2 linked regions of the Diceros bicornis minor genome follow. The protein of the gene in region 1 purifies or fractionates together with the protein of each later gene. This does not show direct contact. Links are inferred from orthologs where the notes say so. Each region holds a gene or a part of one and is shown on either strand. Other genes may lie near its edges.

Region 1 (9,282 bases):
AGCTAAGCTGTGGGTGGTTTCTGACCTACAGAAACTATGATAACAAATGTGTATTGTTTTTAGTCACTAAATTTGCAACTTGATACACAGCAATAGAAAACTAATGCAGCAAATAAATATATAACATGTCAGATTGAGGTAAAAGCTATAGAGAAAAATAAAGCTGAGTAAGGGAAATGGGAGTGTGTGTGTGCATGTGTGTGTGTGCACGTGCATGCATGTTTTATAGAGAGGCCAGGGAAGGCCTTATTGTCTTGTGTTTAAGTGTTTCACAGTTGGTCCTCCACAGGCCGTCTGCGGGCTCTCTGGAGGTAGAAATAGTCTTGCTCTTCCCAAACACCCAGGGCCCAGCATAATGCAGGGCTCAAGAGTAGTCCACCAATGAGTCTGGTTTTTCAAGATCCCAAGCTCCTTAACAGCACAGAACCACCTTTCTCTTTCTCTATACCCCCCCAAATATTTACCCTGGAACATGGCTAGCATTCAATAATCCCTGGAACTCATTCTTGGTCTCCAACTTTCTCCCTGGCCCCGCCCCTCTCATCTTAATTGGCTCCTGGGTCACCTCTCCATGTCAGGATCACCTTTTCCAGCCGGGTCTCCAATTCTGACACTTCGGCTTCCACCAACTCGATAGAGGCTCTGGGAAAGGAGGGGTGGGGTCACAGGAACAGAGCTTGGGTCCATCTGGTCTGTCAGCCTCAGCAAGGTCAGGGATTGGGGTTAGGGAGTGGAGGTACAGACAGAAAAAGTGGAGGGGTTAAGAAGAGCCACCCACCCACCCTCTTTTGCTCAGCTCACTGCGCAGTGTAGGAGCTGCTGGCCCAGGCCAGAGCAGGAAGGGTAGGAGGGAGGGTGGATGTGGCGAGGGCAGGAAGTTGCTAACCGCCCAGAGCAGGTGCTGGGGGAGGGGCAGGGGTCTGGGTGAGGAGGAGGAGGGAATGCCAGCTCTGGGGGTGCGAGAGGCTGGAGCAGCCCCCTCCACATGCAAGGAGTGGAGAACATCAGAGCACCCGGTTTGATAGCAGAGGTCCTACTCTGGCCCCAAGCTCCATCTTGTCCCTTTGAGACTTACTCCCTGGAAGGACGTCTGGCCTGGGGAAGGTTGTGTGTGAGTGCGTGTGCATGTTGGGGGTTGTCGGACTACTCCCTCCCTGCCCTCCAGACCTGCTCGCACTTACCGGAAGCGAGGTGAGTCCTTAAGACACTCTTCGAAATCCAGCTTGACCGTCATCTCAGCTTGACTGCTCGGAGGCCAGTGGGCCCTGGGGCCCAGCAGGTGGGGATGCAGGTAGAGGCACTGCCTGCCCCAGAAGGGGCGTTGATGAGGAAGGAGAAGGTCCTCTCCTGGGTAGAGCCTGGGGGGGCGCAGATTTTTCCCCAAGGGGAATGGGTGTCCTAGGAGGAGCTCTCACCCCACACTTCCAGGCAGTGCTGGGAGGGGCAGAGGCGGGGCCTGGGCAGAGGAGAGGGGCCTGAGATCAGAGAAGCCACAGCCACGCCCTCAGGGACTATCTGCTGTCACCTTCCTACTGGGGGCCCTGGTCTTTCTTTGCTTCTTTCTCCTTTAGTGGTTGAATTTGAGAGGCCTGGCAGATATAGTTTCAAATCCTGATTCTGTCACTTAAAGGTTGTGTGACCTTGGGCAAGCTCTCTGATTCCTCAGTTTTCTCATCTGGAAGATGGGGATGATAACCCCTACCTCCAGGGTTGTTGTAAGAAGTAAAGATGATACCGTAAATTTATGGTTGACTGAATCACACCAATCACTGTCATCCTGCTACAGTTGGGCCTTCTCAGACTCCTAGGTTCTTGTTGAGCCCAGTTCCCCAGACTACTCCAAGCTTTCTTCTCTGCTCAGCCTGCCCTTGGTTTCCTGTGTGTGAATTTCCCTCCCTCCTCCCCTCTCCTCAAGGACGGAGCAGGCCCAGCCTGGGTCCCCAATTCACAGCACCCAGAGGCCTGCTCTTCTTCTCTTTATTGTCCACTCCTAGGGTGGTGAGGGCAGGGGAAGGTTGGTCCCCACCCCCTTCCCAGCTGGCTACATTTTCCATTGTCTGGCTTCCTCCTCCTGAGTCCATCGAAGCTGCACAGTTGTATCTGGAGAGAAAAGGGGTTGGGTTAGTAGCTTTTGTGCAGCAGGCATGAGATCTGGCCCACGAGACCCACCAGATTCCCTAGAACCTACCCACTCAGCTCCTCTCCCTCCCTGGGCAGTGCAGGCAGCCCTTTGCCCCCACCAGGGCTCAGGCTCATGTCTGTGCTGGTTCAGTTTTGGGGAGTTTGGGTTGCTTCCAGGTACCCTCTTTGAGCTTTCTGGGCTTCGCCAGTTCAGCCCTTTGGACACCAGCCACTGACACCCGCTTGGGACCTACTGTCTTTGGAAGACAGGGCAGTACCTGGAGTAGGGTGGGTGGCAGAGAGGAGTCAGGGAGGAGGCATGGGGTCAGCAGGTGATGCCAAGCTGGAGAGGATCCCAACCCTTCTGAGCCTCCCTGGTTCCTCTCCGTACAACAAGGGCCTTGCACACTAGGATGTTTATGGTCTCTCTTAGCACCTGTTGCTGGTCTACTGGCCTGAAAGGGGTGGGGGTTGGGGGCATGGGAGCTTGCCAAGAGCCAGGCCCAGTGAGATGGTGGCCTGGTGTTCTCACCAGGCAGCAATGGTGTCACTGTCACCGTCAGGGAGTTCTCAGTAGCCTTGGGATCCTGAAAGTGGTTTCCTGTGTGGTCCAGCAGACGGACCTCAGTGCTTATGGGATTCTCCATCATCCAGTTCAAGCTTGTGGAGCCTGGAAGCATCATGGGGTCAGGGTTGCGGCATCCATCAATCTGTTAGTTCTCAGCCCTCCTGCCCCCAGGCTGACCCGGCCCAGCTCTCACTGTCCTGCTGCTCATCTTCTGTGTCCTCCTCAAGCTCTGGGTGGGGAGAGCGCCTCAGGTATCTTCCCTTGCTATAATACTCCTTGCGTTGCAGATCAATCTCCTGCTCTAACACGATGGTGGCTGGAGCTGGGGACTGATTTCTGGAGGTAGGGAAATCTGAGGAGTCACCCAAATCAATCTGAGTCTCATACCTAGCGTATCCAGGCCCCTCAGGTGTCCATTGTGGCCCCCACCACAGGAGAGAAGCTCAAGCCCCAGGTTCTCATCTCACTTCTATCACCTCCTCCCATTTTAGAAAACCTCAGTGACCTCCCCATCCCCCTGGTTCTCTTGGGCATTCTGTTCCTCCTCACCAGCCAGCCTCCCCTAAGACTACCTTGATAGGGACCCAACCCCAGCTGCCCTCTGTCTTCCCTGGGTCACCTCCCAGCATTACCTCCCTCTTAGGCAGGGCCCTGGGCCAATGCCCACTGAGGAAGACAGGCTATGGTGGAGAAGGCTCTGGACTACAATTCCTTTGAGTCCCTGGGGCCCCGCCATAGCTAACCCTTGGCTTCTAGGATGTAGTTCTTGGTCATCAAGTCAGTCTCAACTTTGACTCCTCTGGCCAGTCCTCCTGCCCAGCTTCTCTCCATAGGTCTGGGCTCTGGGCTCAGCATCACACCTCGACTGCCACCTCCCATACTGACAATACTCCCATTGCTGTTCTTGTTATTATCCAATGGCAGGTTTTTCTGAGCCCTAAGGAACTTTCCTTCATCGTAGTGTGCCTTGCGGCGCTTCTCAAAAGCACTGGAGTCTGTGGGCCAGTGTAAGAGCTTGGCTTTCCCTCCAGGCTCTCGTTGAAGGTTCACTCCGCCTCCCCTTTTCATTCAATCCCCGACCCTCATCTCACGTGTCTTGGAAAAGTTGTCTGAAGACCCTGAGCTTCTGTTATCACTGTACTGGAGGACCTTGGGGCAGAAATTGTCCATTGTTGCAAACCTGAAGGGAGGGAGACTAGTTGGGGGCACCAAAGGAAGAGAACAACAATGGTGGCAGGTGATAGATAGGGCCAAGCTGGCTGACTCCCCCACCTTGGCCTTGGTCAGTTCTGACGGGAATTGTAGTCAAAAAAGCAGAGCTGGCTCAGACCCCAGAGTTCAGGAGTGGAAGGAGGAAGAGGTCCCACAACCCTGCTGAGCTCTGGCAGGACTCTCACCTCTCCGCCAGCTCTTCGGGAGTCATTGTGCGGGAGGAAACCTCAAGTAGGTCCTCATTGCTGTCCTGCAGCCTGCAAAGGAAGGAGCAAGCAGTGCTGGGAGGGAGGCAGCAGGCAATATCCAGTCCCTGCAGCCTCTCAGCCTCCTCCCCGTAACCCGCCTTTGAACAGGGAAGAGAGTCTGGGTTGACGGGCTCAGCACCTGTGGTAGGGAGTGCTGGGCTCATCCACCTTCATAAATCCGTAGTCCTTGTCAGCAGGGTGGTAGGTGGCCGGGATATTCATTTCATCCCAGCGCTGAGACTTTTTCCTGGGGTGGGGGAAGGACACAAAAAACGAGGAGGAAGCCTAGTGACCTCTTCTCACAGCCCTCCCTCATTCTTTCAGTCATTCAAAACCTTTTTCTTGCACCCTCTTTGTACTTCCAGAGGCGTAGGAGGCCTAATGATAATCACTTACAATGTAGCCAGGGTTGGTCCGGTACCTACCGCTCTCCCGCAAAGGCCTGGAAACTCAAATTTCCCACCCAATCGCCCTCACTTACTCTCACTTATAGTTCTCAGGACTCCGCCCCTTCCCTCCTGGCTCCACCCCCTCAAAGTGTCCGGAACCCCACCCTCCCGGCTCCGAGCGGCGTGCCCACTGAGCTGGGCTCCTTACTTCTCCACACTGGGGGATTTCTGCATCGAGATGGAACTGCTGTTTTTGAGGATGCCCCGGGGCCGGTCCTCACAAGGTTTGTGGGGGTGCAAGAAAGTTGACCCAGGGCGCGAACTGCTTCCCGAGTTGTACACCCCAGACCCCCTGGACCCAAGGCTGGACGTCCCGGATGCACGGGTTCCAAGGAAGGGGGGATTAAATCCGCCAGGGTATGTGCCGGGCCCATGGCTGTGGCCCGCAACCTCCCCAGGGTGCTGGTTGGGCCCGGAACCAAGGACCGCTACCCCCTCGGAGGGCCGGCTGGAACGAGGACTGCGAATTACGACTCCCCCGGAGTGCAGGGGGGGGCCAGAAACGTGACACAAGACTACTTCGGAGGGCGGCCTGGCGCCTGCCTCGACTCCTCCAATGCCTCCTGGCACTCCCCTGGTTGCCCCTCCAGGGGATTCCCCGTTGAGGCAGCCGGCAGCCCCCAGAGAGTCCTGCTTCTCCATGGCCCCGCCAGGGGGCCACCCTCAGCTCCCCCGCCCCGCCACCCTACTCCACATAGCCCCGCCCCTTGAGGCCCCGCCCCCACCGCGGAGGGCGGGGGACGCTCGGGCTGAGGGCCGCGTCCCCTCCCCTTCGGCTCCCTGGAGCCGCGGTGGGCGGGATCAAGAATCTATCTATATAGGGACCTCAGGCTGGGAGCCCCTCCCTCTCTGTCCACCCAAAGACCTTCTTTCTTTGTCTGTAGGATTTGTTCCCGCCCTTCTCCCTCATCCCCGCCCTCATCCGAATTGTCCAATCATAGTCAGAGGTCCTGATGCGGGAGCGAGACGACTTAATTGTGACGTCACAATCCTCCAACCGTAGCGCGAGCATCGGGGAGTTGGGCTGGGGCCTTACTAATAGCTCTGGGGGATCTTTTGGGAACGTCAGCATCGTTGCTTGAAACTGCCTTCCAGGGTTTCTTTGGATTTTTTATTCGCGGCTTTAAAATCTAAGAGTTTGGTTGGATTGCAGTTCAAGGTGGGCTTGACTAGAAACAGCGCCAACCTTTTCTCCACCAAAAGTCGGCCCGCTTTGCCTCTCACGAGAGGTGATGCAAAGTGGAGGGATTGCGATACTGCTGTAAGATATATCCGCTCTCGGCGGTGTGGAGGGCAGAGATTTTCATTTATAAAGCTACCAGTTCCCTTCCTTGGGTCTTCCAAACCCCGCTCACACCGCTTTCAAGCGCATAGCGGGAAGGGAAGACGACTCCTCCTCTTGCCGTAAAGCGAACATGTCTAGGTGTTGCCTGGCTTGACGAGGGCGGGGTCGTCGGTGCCGCTGTCGCAAAGCCGAAAGTGTTTGGACGCCAGCACCTCTCCGTCGTAAAGATGCCTGCGGCAGTTGTTTCTCCCACTGTCGCAAAAGCTCCCTGCTCAAGTCTTCACCCTTCTCGGAGCCACTCCGTCACCTCTCCGTGCCGTAAAGCAAACCTGTCGACCCCGTCGTCCTTCTGTTCCCACCGTGGTAGTCTTAGTTCCCTAGCTGCCTAGGGATGCTTCATTGCCCAGCGGTGCCGTAAAGCATATCTGGCCCTAGCCCCTGGTCCTATTCCCTCAGGGAGTCTGTGCACCGCGGTTGCCACGGTGCCGCCAAGCGCGGCTGTCGCGCGGCCCCGGTGTCAGCGGCGATGGCGGCGGGGTCGGGTGGGAGTGGGGGCTCTGGGGGAGGCCCCGGACCGGGACCAGGCGGGGGTGGGGGCCCCGGCGGGAGTGGCCCAGGGCCGGGGTCCGGCGGGGTTCTGGGCAGCGGCGGGGAGCTGCACCCGCGCACTGGGCGCTTGGTGAGCTTGTCGGCCTGTGGGCGTATAGCGCGGCGACAGCAGCCGGGCCAGGAGTTTAACCACGGGCTGGTGTTGAGCCGGGAACCCTTGCGCGATGGACGCGTCTTCACCGTCCGCATCGACCGCAAGGTGCGGAGCTGGGGCCGCGGAACCGAGATGTGGAGGGTGGTGGGAAGGGACCAGAGGGAGACGGAGTAGGACAGCCAGGGTAGCCCACAACACCGGGTATCGAGAGGAAACCGACAGACCTTAGGTCACCAAGTGACAGGCAGAAAGGGAGTCTGAAATAGAAACATTCAGTCTGAAGGAGAAGGAAACAAGGAGAGCTTGAATTTGTTCAAGACCTAGGAGCAGGGAAGGGACAGGGGGCCTCACCCACTGGAATGACTAGGGAACAGACCTCCTGGAACAATTTCTGGGAGATGGAGATTGGTGAGATGTTGGAGATGTGATGGGAGAAGAGAGATAACCAAAGAAAGAACAAACCATGGAAGGACAAACTCACCGGTTGGACTGGAAAGATGCGTGAGAAGACAGAGGGAGGTGTGTGTACTCGTGTGTGATTTAGTGAAGAGGCCTGGCGCACAGAGGTGGAATTTGGGAACATAGTGAATCTGAGTGGAGCCAGAGCCTAGAAGAGAATGATATACAAGAGCAAGGAATAAATATGGGCATGGAGAGCTGTGAATTTGGGTGGTTGAGGAGCCCCAGAGACCAGGGAAGTTAGGGCAGGGGACTGGAGCCAGGGAATTTAGCCGGCATGGTGCGGAAAGGAGTGGTGTCGTAGACACTGAGCACCTAGAGTACCAAGCAGAGTTGCTAAGGGAAACTGGACCCAACAATCCCTGAGACAGAGTCGAGAAAATTACTTATGGGACCGCATCTCTGGATTAGTGTCTCACATCTCAAGAGAGAAAACCCATTTAGCTGTCTGAGAGATGGGAACAGGGGGATGCAGTGGCCTGTGAAATGTTTCCTAATGGTGGGAGACCCATTCATGACCCATCCTGAGTTTCTGTTCACCACCCGTATCATAGGTCAACTCCTGGAGTGGCTCCATTGAGATTGGGGTGACGGCACTGGACCCCAGTGTGCTGGACTTCCCAAGCAGCGCCACGGGGCTAAAAGGGGGCTCGTGGGTAGTGTCGGGCTGTTCGGTGCTGAAGGATGGACGTTCTGTGCTGGAGGAGTATGGTCAGGACCTGGACCAGCTTGGCGAAGGAGACCGTGTGGGCGTGGAGCGCACGGTTGCTGGGGAGCTTCGGCTCTGGGTGAATGGGCGGGATTGCGGTGTGGCTGCCACGGGCCTGCCCACTCGTGTCTGGGCCGTTGTGGACCTTTATGGCAAGTGCACCCAGATCACCGTGCTGCCCCCTGAGCCAGGCTTCAGCCCCCCTTCTCCCATCCCCACACTCCCCCTCGAGCCCTCTGCCCCCCCTGAAGATTCTGCTTTGGCTGAACAGGGGACCTCTGGAGATGAAGGTGAGAACACAGGGCAGTAGTGGAGGAGTGGGGTGGAGGGAATGGCTGAAGGAATGGGGGAAATGTAGTGACAAGTGAGGCTGGGTGTGGGCAGGGACACTCAGACCCCAGAGTCTGTTGAAGGGGAGAGCAGGGGCTAGAGGAGGGGGTCTCCTGGCTGTGGGCCCTACAGCAGGGGCTGAACCCTTATTCCCCTCCCATCCCACCTGGTCCCCAGCCTTCATGGTGTCCCCAGCGCAGGCCCGGCCAGAGACGTTTCCTAACAGCCTTGAGTCGCATAATGGTGAGGGCTACGGGGAGGCCCTGGGAATGGGAGTGGGAAGTGAGGTGGACAAGGGAGGGATCTCAGGAGAGGGGTAGGGAGAGAGGGGCAAGCCTGAGGATGTAGAGCCTTATTTCAGCTTCTTTCCTCTGTCCTACTGCTGCAGACTTTGCCAGCATGGAGCTCTCTGAGGTGGTGAGCAACGCCATCCTGTCTGCCTACAATGGGGGGCTTCTAAATGTGAACCTAAGCTCCCCATCAGCAGGGGAAGGGCTGGGGTCGAGCGGTGCTACCACCTCACCCATCCTCACTTCCAACGACGCCCTGCTCTTTCATGAGAAGTGTGGAACCCTCATCAAACTCAGCAACAATAATAAGACAGCTGAGCGCCGCCGGCCTCTAGATGAATTCAACAATGGGGTTGTCATGACCAACCGCCCGCTCCGGGACAATGAGATGTTTGAGGTGTGCAAGATCCTGGGATCTGGCTAGCACCTCGCCCTCTGGGAGCTAAAGATGGGGCTTGATCCTTGACGCTGGAAGGGTAGGGCCTGGGGAAGAGCCAATGGCTAAGGGTCCTTTCTCTGCATTTACATTCTCTGCCTCTCCCTTCTGCTGTCACTCTACCCAAGATCCGCATCGACAAGCTCGTAGATAAGTGGTCGGGCTCCATTGAGATTGGTGTCACTACCCACAACCCCAACAATTTGGACTACCCAGCCACCATGACCAACTTGCAGTCAGGTACCAGCCCCTGGCAGGGTGGGGGTATGGGCCTGGGGTCGGTGAGGTGAAGGAAGCCCAAACTGTAACCAGGGTGTCGGCTTTCCCCCAGGCACCATCATGATGAGCGGCTGTGGGATCCTGACCAACGGCAAGGGCACCCGCCGAGAGTACTGTGAATTCAGCCTGGATGAGCTGCAGGTGAGGGTGGCCATGGGGTCTGGGCCACTCTCCAGGGGCCCCGATACTCTGC
Region 2 (9,824 bases), on another chromosome or scaffold:
GGTTCCTCTGAGACACACTATCCAGTTTGCATCCTTGGCTTCTCTATCACAATGAAGACGTGAAATGCTCATTATGACCGAGATTTTAAATTTTTTAAAAAACTTTAAATTATGCAAACATACACAGTATATAGCAAAAAAGACTTAGATGTTAACATTTTGCCATATTTGCTTCATTCTCTTGCTGCCCTGAAACATAATAATATCTATTATTTACTGAGGCTTTTCTATTTGTCAGGCACGGTTCTAAGTGCTTTAAATGTGTTAACTCATTTGATCTTCACAACTCTTCAGTAGGTACTATTTTTTCTTTTTTTTTGAGGAAGATTGGCCCTGAGCTTACATCTGTTGCCAATCTTCCTCTTTTTTCTTCTTTCTCCCCAAAGCCCCAGCACATAGCTGTATATCATAGTTATAGAGTTGTAGTTCTTCTATATGGGATGTCGCCTCAGCATGGCTTGATGAGTGGTGAGCAGGTCCTTGCCCAGAATCCGAACCAGTGAACCCTGGGCCACGGAAGTGGAAGGCGTGAACTTAACTGCTACGCCACCAGGCTGGCCTCAGTAGGTACTATTAATGTTCTCATTCTCAGATGAGGAAACTGTGAGCGATTAAGGAACTTGCTCTGGGTTACACAACCTAGGACGTGGTAGAGGCTGCTCTCTTAACCACTCCGACTTTACTGTCGACACTACAGACACAGCTAAAATCCTCCCCCCTTCCTCTCCAGAGGTAATTGCCCACTTAAAGCTGATGTGCATCATTCCCATATCATTCCATTATAGGTCTTTATATATTTACTACACACTTAAGCACCCACAAACAACATACAGCACGGTCCTAGTGCATAGGAAGCATTCAATAAATGTTAGCCATTGTTAGTTACTGTGTGTTCTTTTTAACACATTTTTAATCGTAATATAGTCAAATCTATCACTCGTCCTTTACGGGTGGAGATTTTTCTATCTTATTTAAATTCTTTCCTACTCCCATTTATAAAGATATACAACTATATTTTCTTCTAGGCTTCAAAGTTTGATTTTCACACACGTGACCAAGATTTCCCCCCCTAAAAATCCCAATTCTATCACTCACTGTGTTGTCTAGTTACTTATAGTCTTCTAGTCTCAGTTTCATCATTTTTAAGATGATACTCTAACGATCCTAAGAGTTGCTGTGAGGATTTGGAAATAATGCCTGTAAATTACCAAGCTTGGTGCCGGGCTCAGAGTTGGCACTCAAAATAAGCTATTAAGGATTAGAAGAACACTTATGCCTCAGGGAAAAAGTCATTACAATAATGCTTACATCTGTACTGGTTAAAAGGTATACCTTTCCATAAGATTAAAAAGTATATCTTTCCTAAGTTAAAGACAGAATTAATGCCCTGGTAAAACAACATGGGTTCCATATTTTACCACATAAAACTAGATCACATTTTCAGTATTCATAGTGCATGCTTCTCTCATTATAACACAAATGTTATCCTTATTCCTTGATGGGGCACTATAATTAGGTTCAATTATACTTTTATTCATTAGGGCCATCCTTATTTGGCTACAACACAAAAAGTAACAATGGTGAGACTATTTTAGCAAGTGAACTAGAACTAATGAGTTCATTTATTTGTCTTTTCTGTGTAGTTTATTAAGGCCCCAAACAAAAGCTCTATAAAACAACCACCATATTAATTTCTTAGACCAGATCTTCTATGACTGCATTCAACTTTCTTTACCAGTTATAGAGGCAAAAAGATGAACCTGATTCTAATTCACATGTTAGTATACACTTCATACTCATCTTTTTATTTATTTAGAGAAATGTCTTACAATAGTATTTTTGGGGGGAACACACCTTACCTCTTTCAAGTGTTTCCTTATATATCTATTTTATAATCTATCAGAAATTCTACCACTGTCAGAACGTCTTCCCTGAGTTTTCACGGAGTAAAACTTTTTTTTTTTTTCAAATGTTTAAGGATATAAATTATGAGCTGTAAACATGTAAAGGGAGGAAGAATAGGACAAAAAACAAACTTTGATGGAAATAAACTACAAATTTGAAGTCAAGCGGGAGGATGCGACCTTGTCTTCTGCAGTCTGTATTCAGAATCTAAATTCTATTACAGCTAAAAAGTTCACTGATAATGACCCGATATTCGAACAAGGTGAATTACCACATCTCATTTCCTCTTAAGACCAGTAATCAACTTGGCACGATGTTTATTTATGATTATTACACACATTAAAGACATGCTCAACCTAAGCATACAAGGCATGAATGGAATTTAGCTATAATTCTCTTGCAACACGAGGGGATATGAAACACTCTATGTGTATGTGTATTTCACATACATACTTCCTCGTTTAACATGACTTATATTCACTCAAACATATTCCTAGCCAAACTACCATACCCATCGGTAAATACTTATGAATACCTTCTGTGCTCAATTAACAATGAGTTATACTTTAAGGCAATTTACACAAGGTAAGTAGAAATGGAAGCCAACGACAATTATGTGCTTTTTTTCCTATGGTAATTATCATCTTTCTTTGCATGACAGTTCTATCTCCTGTGTAGCTAGCTGTGTTACTTCATGCAACCTCTCTGGGTTTAGGTTTAGAAGGTAAAATACACTCTTCAATATCTTTAGATTTATTTTTAAACAGAAGGCTAGAAGAGCTGCTCTGTCTCCCTTCCATCACAAAGAACCAAAGGGAAAAAGCATAAGAGAAGTTTAACTGGGTTTATAAACGGTCAGGTGCCCTCTGCTCAATTAAAGCTGCCTTCCTGACTCCCTTCTTTCTTCAGACTTAAATTTTTCCCTTAACACTTAAATTTTACCTAAACGATTTTAAACAATCAAGCCATCTTTAGATTCTTGGCCTAAAGAGCTTACATTTGTGGAGGTCTTATCATGGGCCACACACTTTATGTGGACTACCTCATTGAATCACAACCTATTAGGCGGATATCAATATTATTCCCATTTTACGGATGGGGAAACTGAGGTCACGGCTGGGACTAGAGTGAGAAGTGCCCTAGGGTGCCGCGCTTCCCACACCCTAGTCATGACTCTTGACTGGGACACTGACAGCTTAAGTAACTTGCTCATTACACAACACTGTCTGTCCCTAGCAGGACACATGACAGTCAGTCCAAGTTTTTACATCCCAGGACATATTCTAATCTATGACAAAGAGCATTGAGGCTTGGAATCAGAAGGTTGAATTCTAGAAAGAGCTGTGGTTTGAGCAGCTTTCCTACTCATTCAATGTTAAAATGTCTCAAAGAAATGAGAGGATCAGATATATTTCTACAGATGCAAAAGTGGCTAGGCAACTGAAAAGCTCTCTTACTATGCGAACGGTCATTTTCATGTCAGGAGACTGCCAGGAGAGCCTTGTGACAAGGGGAGGCAGAAACTGATTAGAGTCCCAATGCCAGGATTGTCTGAGGATGAATGTGTGTGTCTGGGGGGAAGGTGATAAGGAGATGACCTGGCTAGTTTGGAGGACAAGCAAAGACAGCTCTTGTGAATGTGATCCACTTAGAATAAACTCAACCACTGACCAAGACTCTACTTAACCTGGCCACATTTCCTACCTCATTCACTAGCCTTTGCTCTGTTCCTTGAAGTCAAGCCACATATGCTTATTCTGTTATCTGAACATTCCAACATCATTCCCACCTCAGGACCTTTGCACTTGCTGCTCCCTTTTTCTGGAACACTTTTCCCCCAGATCCACAGCCGGCTCCTTCTCGCAATCTTGGTTTCAGTTCAAAAGTCACTTCTTCTGAGGATTTCGCTGACTATCTGGAAATAGCATTAACTGCTTTCCCCAGTCATCCCTCATTCCATTACTCTATTTCTTCATTGCACTTTCGCTTGCGCAGTGCTTGGCACATAGCAAATATGTAAGTATGTGAGTATTTGCTATGTTCTATAAATACTCGAAGTCGGGAGATTTTCCAGACTTCAGAGGGATCGAGAGCCACAGGAACGTATTTCTTGAGGACGAATGGGGAACCGGGAAGGCTATCACGCGAAGCCTGGGGAATCTGCGGAAGGACAAGCAGAAGTCCAGCTCCCCGGAGGGGCGCGAGGCGTGGGGGGCTCACCTGCCGAATGGCCGCCAGCGTGTTCTCGGGGGCGTCGTGGCCGCCGCCGCGGTGGGCGATGGCGGAGACGCGGTTCCGCGGCTTGAGCACCTGCAGGGCCCTGCGGGAGGGCACCGGGTCGAAGCTGAAGAGGCGCAGCAGGAGGTAGAGGCTGCCGGTCAGGAGGCAGGCATTGAAGGGGCTGCGCGTCACCAGCAGCAGCAGCAGCAGCAGGAAGGAGAAGGGGCCCAGGAGGCCCCCCTGCTCCTCCCACAGCCACATGCCGGCGCCCGCACCGGCACGGACGGGAGTCCCGGGCCCGCCGGGCTCCCCGGACAGGAGAACCAGAAGCGGGAGCGAGAGCTCAAGGCACCGGCCGCAGCTGACACCCTCCGAGGGGCCGAGCGCCGCACAATGGCGGCGGCGGCCGCAGCGGGAGAAGGAGCCGGCCGTCCAGCCAATCAGGGCCGGGGAGCGCCAGCTCTCGGGGGCGGAGCCGCTGCCATGGCAACGCAGGCGGGCCCCGGCCCCAGGCTCGCGTTCCAAAGTGGTTTTGGATTATTCCGGGGTGGGGCCTTCAACCAGGGCTTTCAGACTCGAGAAGGGGAGGGATGCAAGACCCATTGTACGGTTGCAGGACTTGGAGGGACCTTAGTGACCCCTTCATTCCGCCTTCGAGGAAACTGCCCGGGGAGCCTTGAAGGAGCACAACGCTCAGACTATTTATGTATTCAATTCAAGATGTGCCAAACACCAGTCCAGGTGCTTGGACACGGCAGTGAACAGGACCTGCACGGTCCCTGCTCTCGTGGGGGAAAATAATAGTGTTAGGGAGCACGCCAACATTTATAGAGCACTTACCGTATTCCAGGTTCTGTGCTAGCGAATATTTTATGCGTTATCTCGTTTATTCTCACAACAGCCTCAGTGGGTAGGTCTTATCTCAGGAGTGAATGAATTCAGTCGACTTTAGAAGGATTTTTCAGATTCTGAGGGAACGAAAGAGCATAGCAAAGCAGGTACAATCGGATTATAAAGCTGGAAGGGATTTTAATGATTCCCTCGTTTTATAGATGAGGAAACTGAGGCCAGGAGAGGTGAAGAGAGTTGAGCAGTTAATGGCAGCGTCAGGACTGACTCAAGCCACTCCAGTTTTAGGCCAGGTGACTTTTTTTTGCACTGCTACTCATCCTCGTAACCTTACTTGTCCTTCTACTATGGGCTAATAGTAGGGCTTATGCACCAGGCACTGTGCAAGAATATCTCAGTTGTTCCTCACAGCCACCCTTGTGATAGGCACTTTTAAAACTTTCATTTTATATATGCAAGTATAGGCACGGGAAGCAGGGTCAGTAAAAGAGGCAAACGGTAAAGCCGAGTTAGCAAATGAAAGCGGCTGCTGCATTGTATTTTGGAAAGCTGGTAACATGTTGTTTAGATAGAGAACTCTGGTAAAACATTCGGGGCTTTTTGGGCCATCTTGAATCTGTTACCTTTCTTGGACGTTTTTCCCACTGATTTGCGAAAGGGTCAGGGATGTCTTAAGGCTTTGAGTTGGCATTCTAGGATTCAGCAATATTTTATTTACAGAGAAAAAATTTCGGTGAATGTTGTATCTTTTCCAACGACCACACAGAATGAGGTTATATCTGTACGGATAAGTGAAAAATAGCAACTTCAAGGAACATTTCAGGCGGCTTCAGACCTGGGGCGTTCCCATATAATAAATTTTACCTGCAGAGGCCTCAGCTCGTAGTGAAGACTACGTTTCCCAGCGTGCACCGCGCTGCCCGTAAGTACTACTCCCTTCATCACTGGGCCAGGGCGCGTACCCAGGCGCGCAATGCACCTCGGGGATTGTAGTTTTCTGGAGGCCCAACGGTTCCAACAGCCCGGGAAGCAACCGCCGGAAGTGGCGGTGGGGAGAGGTGGAGTCCGAGCAGCGGCGGCGGCGGTTGCCAGGAGCCCGCGTTGCCGCCTGAGACCCGTAATATGGCGGGGAGGAGGAGGAGAAGGCGGCGGCGGACCGAGCTGCTCTCTGTCTGTACCGATTGAGCCGTTGGCTTCCTCACAAGGCCCGGGGCGAGGGGAGAAAACCTGCCCGGGCCGTGGGAGATCAGGTGTGTGCGTGAGGAGCGGGCTCGATCCTCAGCCGGTCCCGGCTCCGAGGCCACGGGCAAGGCGGCATTGGCGCCCTGAGAGCTGAGGGCGGGCTCTGGACAGCCCGAGCGCGGGTGCTGGGCCCCCGGGCTTCGAGACCCTGGAAGGGCGCCGGGTGTCGAAAGGTGGGTGCCCGGGCGCGGAGGTGATGCTCGGATGCTGACACCGCCTGGTGGGCCCTCGGGATGGAGCCTTCCAGAGGAGCTGGGGGAGGTGGGCGTGGGGCGCTGGGGCAGAGGATCCCCTGTAAATAAACTCGGGCCAGAGCCGGGGACCACCTCCTGTTGCTCAAACAGTGTGGGGCGTTTTTCTTCTACGATGCTGGCGAGGGAGGCGTCCCCGGGGTGAGCACTGGACATTTCTGAAGGCCGGTGACCACAACCAGAGGCCCCAGGAGCGCTGTTTACTCTGCCTCTGCGCCTCTCTGGGGCATAAACATGAGGATAATAAAGCAAGTTCTCTTGATTGCCCCTGATGCTGCTAGGTGGTTCCCACCCTTTGCTTCTGTCTGGTTGTCATTCCAGTTCCCTATCCCCAGTTTAGGCAAATGGCAGGCGCCTAGAGATTGATTTAATGGGGAGCGGTCTGGAAACAGCGAAGGGAGGAAGCCGTTGACCCCCTTTCCGTGTTTTTAAGTTATATTTGAATTTTGCCAGGAACCAAGCACTGTCGCTGCCCTCCAGGAGTTCATAATCTAGTGATAAAAATCCTCCTCCTCCTCTTCATAACCAAAGCGGCCCCATTTATTGATGCTCTCTGCATGTCCTGCAATATAGTAATTGCCACGCGTGTATTAATTCATCGAATCCTCATAGAATCTCTTTGAGACAGATACTCAGATTATTCCTATTTTACAGATAAGGAGACCGTATAGACTGCATAGAGATGGTAAGTGAATTGCCAAGAACATACAGCTAGTGTGGGCCTGAATAAGAAACTTTCCCCTTTATTACCTCTATAAGACGTTTATGTCTTTGGGAAGACTGATGGGTAAACAACCAGCTAGGATCTGAAAACAAGGCCAGATCTGTTCTGTGCTACTTTTACCATTCCCTTCAGTGACATCTCTGGGAGAGCACTGCTGAGGAGCAGGTAGCAGGACCATGAGTTTGCGGGGTTTGCAAAGAGGCTCATTTGGAGAAGTCATGGTATAAATGGAGAAATGAGACATGTCTGAACTTGATGCAGCTGACAAATTATTAATTCAAGTGGACCAGTAATGCCTGGTGGTAAAGTATGGGGCAGTAGATTTGTGCTTGGCGTGGCCTTGTAGTCGGGGCTCCCTTAAAATAAAACCCTGCTGACAGAGGTAATTGTGGTGTGAGAGACGAAGTGCCTTAATATAGGATACGGACGCTCACTTTTTAAACGGTTGCCTTTGCAGTTTAGAGGTACCGGCTTCTCTGAGAATAGGGTCATCCATGAAACTCCATTCTCTCAATTCCCTTCTTCCTTGCTAGCTTCTTTGCTATGTAGTCCACTCTCTTTTTTCTCCCGGTTTTCGTTATTGTTTGAGCTAATTACCCTAATTCATTTATTCAGCGCTTTTATCAAATGCCGACTGTGTGCTGACAGTGTTCTGTGTGATGGGGCTTCAGTGGTGAGCAAGACTGAGAAAGTACCTGTGCTTATGGAGCTTACGTTTTGGTGGAGGAAGACAGGCGAAAACCAAGGAAATAAGATAATTTCAGATAGTGGTAAGTGCTATGAAAATTGGAAAACAGCAGGGCAATGTGATAGTGACTGTCACAGGGTTAATTTAGATGGGCTCGTCGGCGACACCCTCTCCGAGGAGGCGACATCCAAGCTGAGACTGAAATATAAGAAGGATCCAGTCACGCTCTGGGATCATTTGGTAATTTCCGTAATCACCTTATTGGCGCTTGTATTTGGGTGGTGAATGCATTATCATATGCTATAAATTATGCTGTAATAATAATCTCTTACTGTGGATCTGCAATACGTCTGACATACATGTACTGTTAAAGGGATATGAATTTAACTTTCTAAAGCATGAGGCATATATCTTCATGATGTTGCTGAAAGAAAAATAGAACTATTGCCATAAAGATATTTTATTTCCTTAAATTTCTCAGACCTTTAAAATAGAATTTCATGTTTGCTTGTGTATCCATACGAAGAATATTACATTAATTGTATGAGTCAGCTATTTATGTTCTCTGTAATGCTGGATGCATGGGCTGTGGTAAAAAATATTTTGAAGTATTTTAGCAGAAATGGGGTCATTTGAATTTCTCTTACATCTTAGCTTCTGCGTATTTTGGTTGTTAAGATATAATGTGGGTTGAAATCCAGACTGACAAATGGGGCCTTGCTATGGTTATCGTGCAGTAAGGTGTTATGTTTGTTTTTTACTTTTGTTTGTTTTATCAATATTGGTTTGCAGAATAATCTCATACTCTAGAGAACCATTTCTTTGAAATTAAACTCTCACTTGGAGTAAATTTAATATAGAAATAATTAGAATGGATGAGATGGTAGGAAGAAGTTTTGTTATTAATAAAACTAGCTGTTGGTCAAAATTAGCAATACATCTTATTTTTTCATAATCTAATCATAATTTTGAAAATGCTTTTTCTTCATTTCTAATTGCACTATAATTTGTCCCTGACACCTTAGTGTACTGAATTTGTAAGTACTTTGAGGTTTAGGACAGTATCATATTGTATCTTCATCTTTGCATATTTCACATCATGAATTGAATTTCTCTACCCTTTCTTTTTTTTGTTAATTAGTTAATTGTTTTAAGATGAACACTATTTATGGTATCTTAAAGGAACATTATTGTATTAGGTTTTCTGTTTTTACAGTTTGTACCCTTGGTGGTTATGATTTTGATGATGTCTCTTTATTTTCCCTTGCTTATTTAAAGGAAACAATGCCAGACATAATGCTATGGAAACAAGCAATCAAATATTTCATGCTTCCTAGACGAATGAATATGCTGCCTAATCCTTCCTGGTTACCTTGTATTTTCATAGCCACCCTCACAATTTTTCAGAAATTGTGCAATTCCTGGGCTGATTGTTTTAAGTAGTTTCGTGATAGTTCCAATTTTCAACAATAAAATGGAATTAATACCAGAGCCAATAGATGTTCTATTTTCTACCCCTGACTGATTTGGCTAGTGACCATGGAGTAGAAAAGAAATTCTTAAGATATGTAAGTATAACGGACTTTGAACTCCATGATAGAAAAAGAAGTTTTGAAAGTAAATAGCCTCTTTTATTTAAATAGCCCTTATTTCTTTTTTTTGGCTACAAAAGCATTTTTGCCTTTTATTTTTTACTTTTTCTTGTGCTGTGTAGATAAGTCCTGCTAAAGAAAATATCTATTTTATAATCTGAAGTTAGTAAACTGGTACAGAACTTTGTTTCCTTTAAAAAGGAAACTTCACTGGTGAGTTCTTAGTACTTTTCTAAACTAATCACATTTAAATATTGATTTACATACAAATGTTCAGAAATATATAATATATGAACCAAGGCTTCACTGGGTAGTATCGTGAGGTGCTTACTTATAACCAGGAATTAGCTTCT

What was found. The genes of interacting proteins can lie anywhere in the genome.
Region 2: the proteins of NEURL4 (region 1) and CCP110 purify together in Homo sapiens (affinity purification with western blotting; 4 studies listed by BioGRID and IntAct, with this or other methods). This does not show direct contact. The link is inferred for Diceros bicornis minor from reciprocal best matches to the Homo sapiens genes NEURL4 and CCP110.

Annotation. Positions count from the first base shown.
Region 1 is NC_080757.1:10,961,012-10,970,293, forward strand, and holds the start of NEURL4 (neuralized-like protein 4), read left to right. Parts: upstream 1-5,373; 5' UTR 5,374-6,409; coding exon 6,410-6,691; intron 6,692-7,599; coding exon 7,600-8,044; intron 8,045-8,261; coding exon 8,262-8,327; intron 8,328-8,472; coding exon 8,473-8,771; intron 8,772-8,938; coding exon 8,939-9,050; intron 9,051-9,141; coding exon 9,142-9,230; intron 9,231-9,282. Other genes in the region: ACAP1 (arf-GAP with coiled-coil, ANK repeat and PH domain-containing protein 1), read right to left, coding at 585-642, 1,182-1,234; uncharacterized protein LOC131416984, read right to left, coding at 2,332-2,399, 2,654-2,791, 3,781-3,869, 4,087-4,158, 4,289-4,396, 4,747-5,240. UniProt on the Homo sapiens protein: Promotes CCP110 ubiquitination and proteasome-dependent degradation. By counteracting accumulation of CP110, maintains normal centriolar homeostasis and preventing formation of ectopic microtubular organizing centers.
Region 2 is NC_080765.1:32,860,600-32,870,423, reverse strand, and holds the start of CCP110 (centriolar coiled-coil protein of 110 kDa), read left to right. Parts: upstream 1-6,042; 5' UTR 6,043-6,224; intron 6,225-7,121; 5' UTR 7,122-7,152; intron 7,153-7,806; 5' UTR 7,807-7,961; intron 7,962-7,971; exon of another isoform or gene 7,972-8,119; intron 8,120-9,157; 5' UTR 9,158-9,378; coding exon 9,379-9,447; intron 9,448-9,824. Other genes in the region: GDE1 (glycerophosphodiester phosphodiesterase 1), read right to left, coding at 4,126-4,386.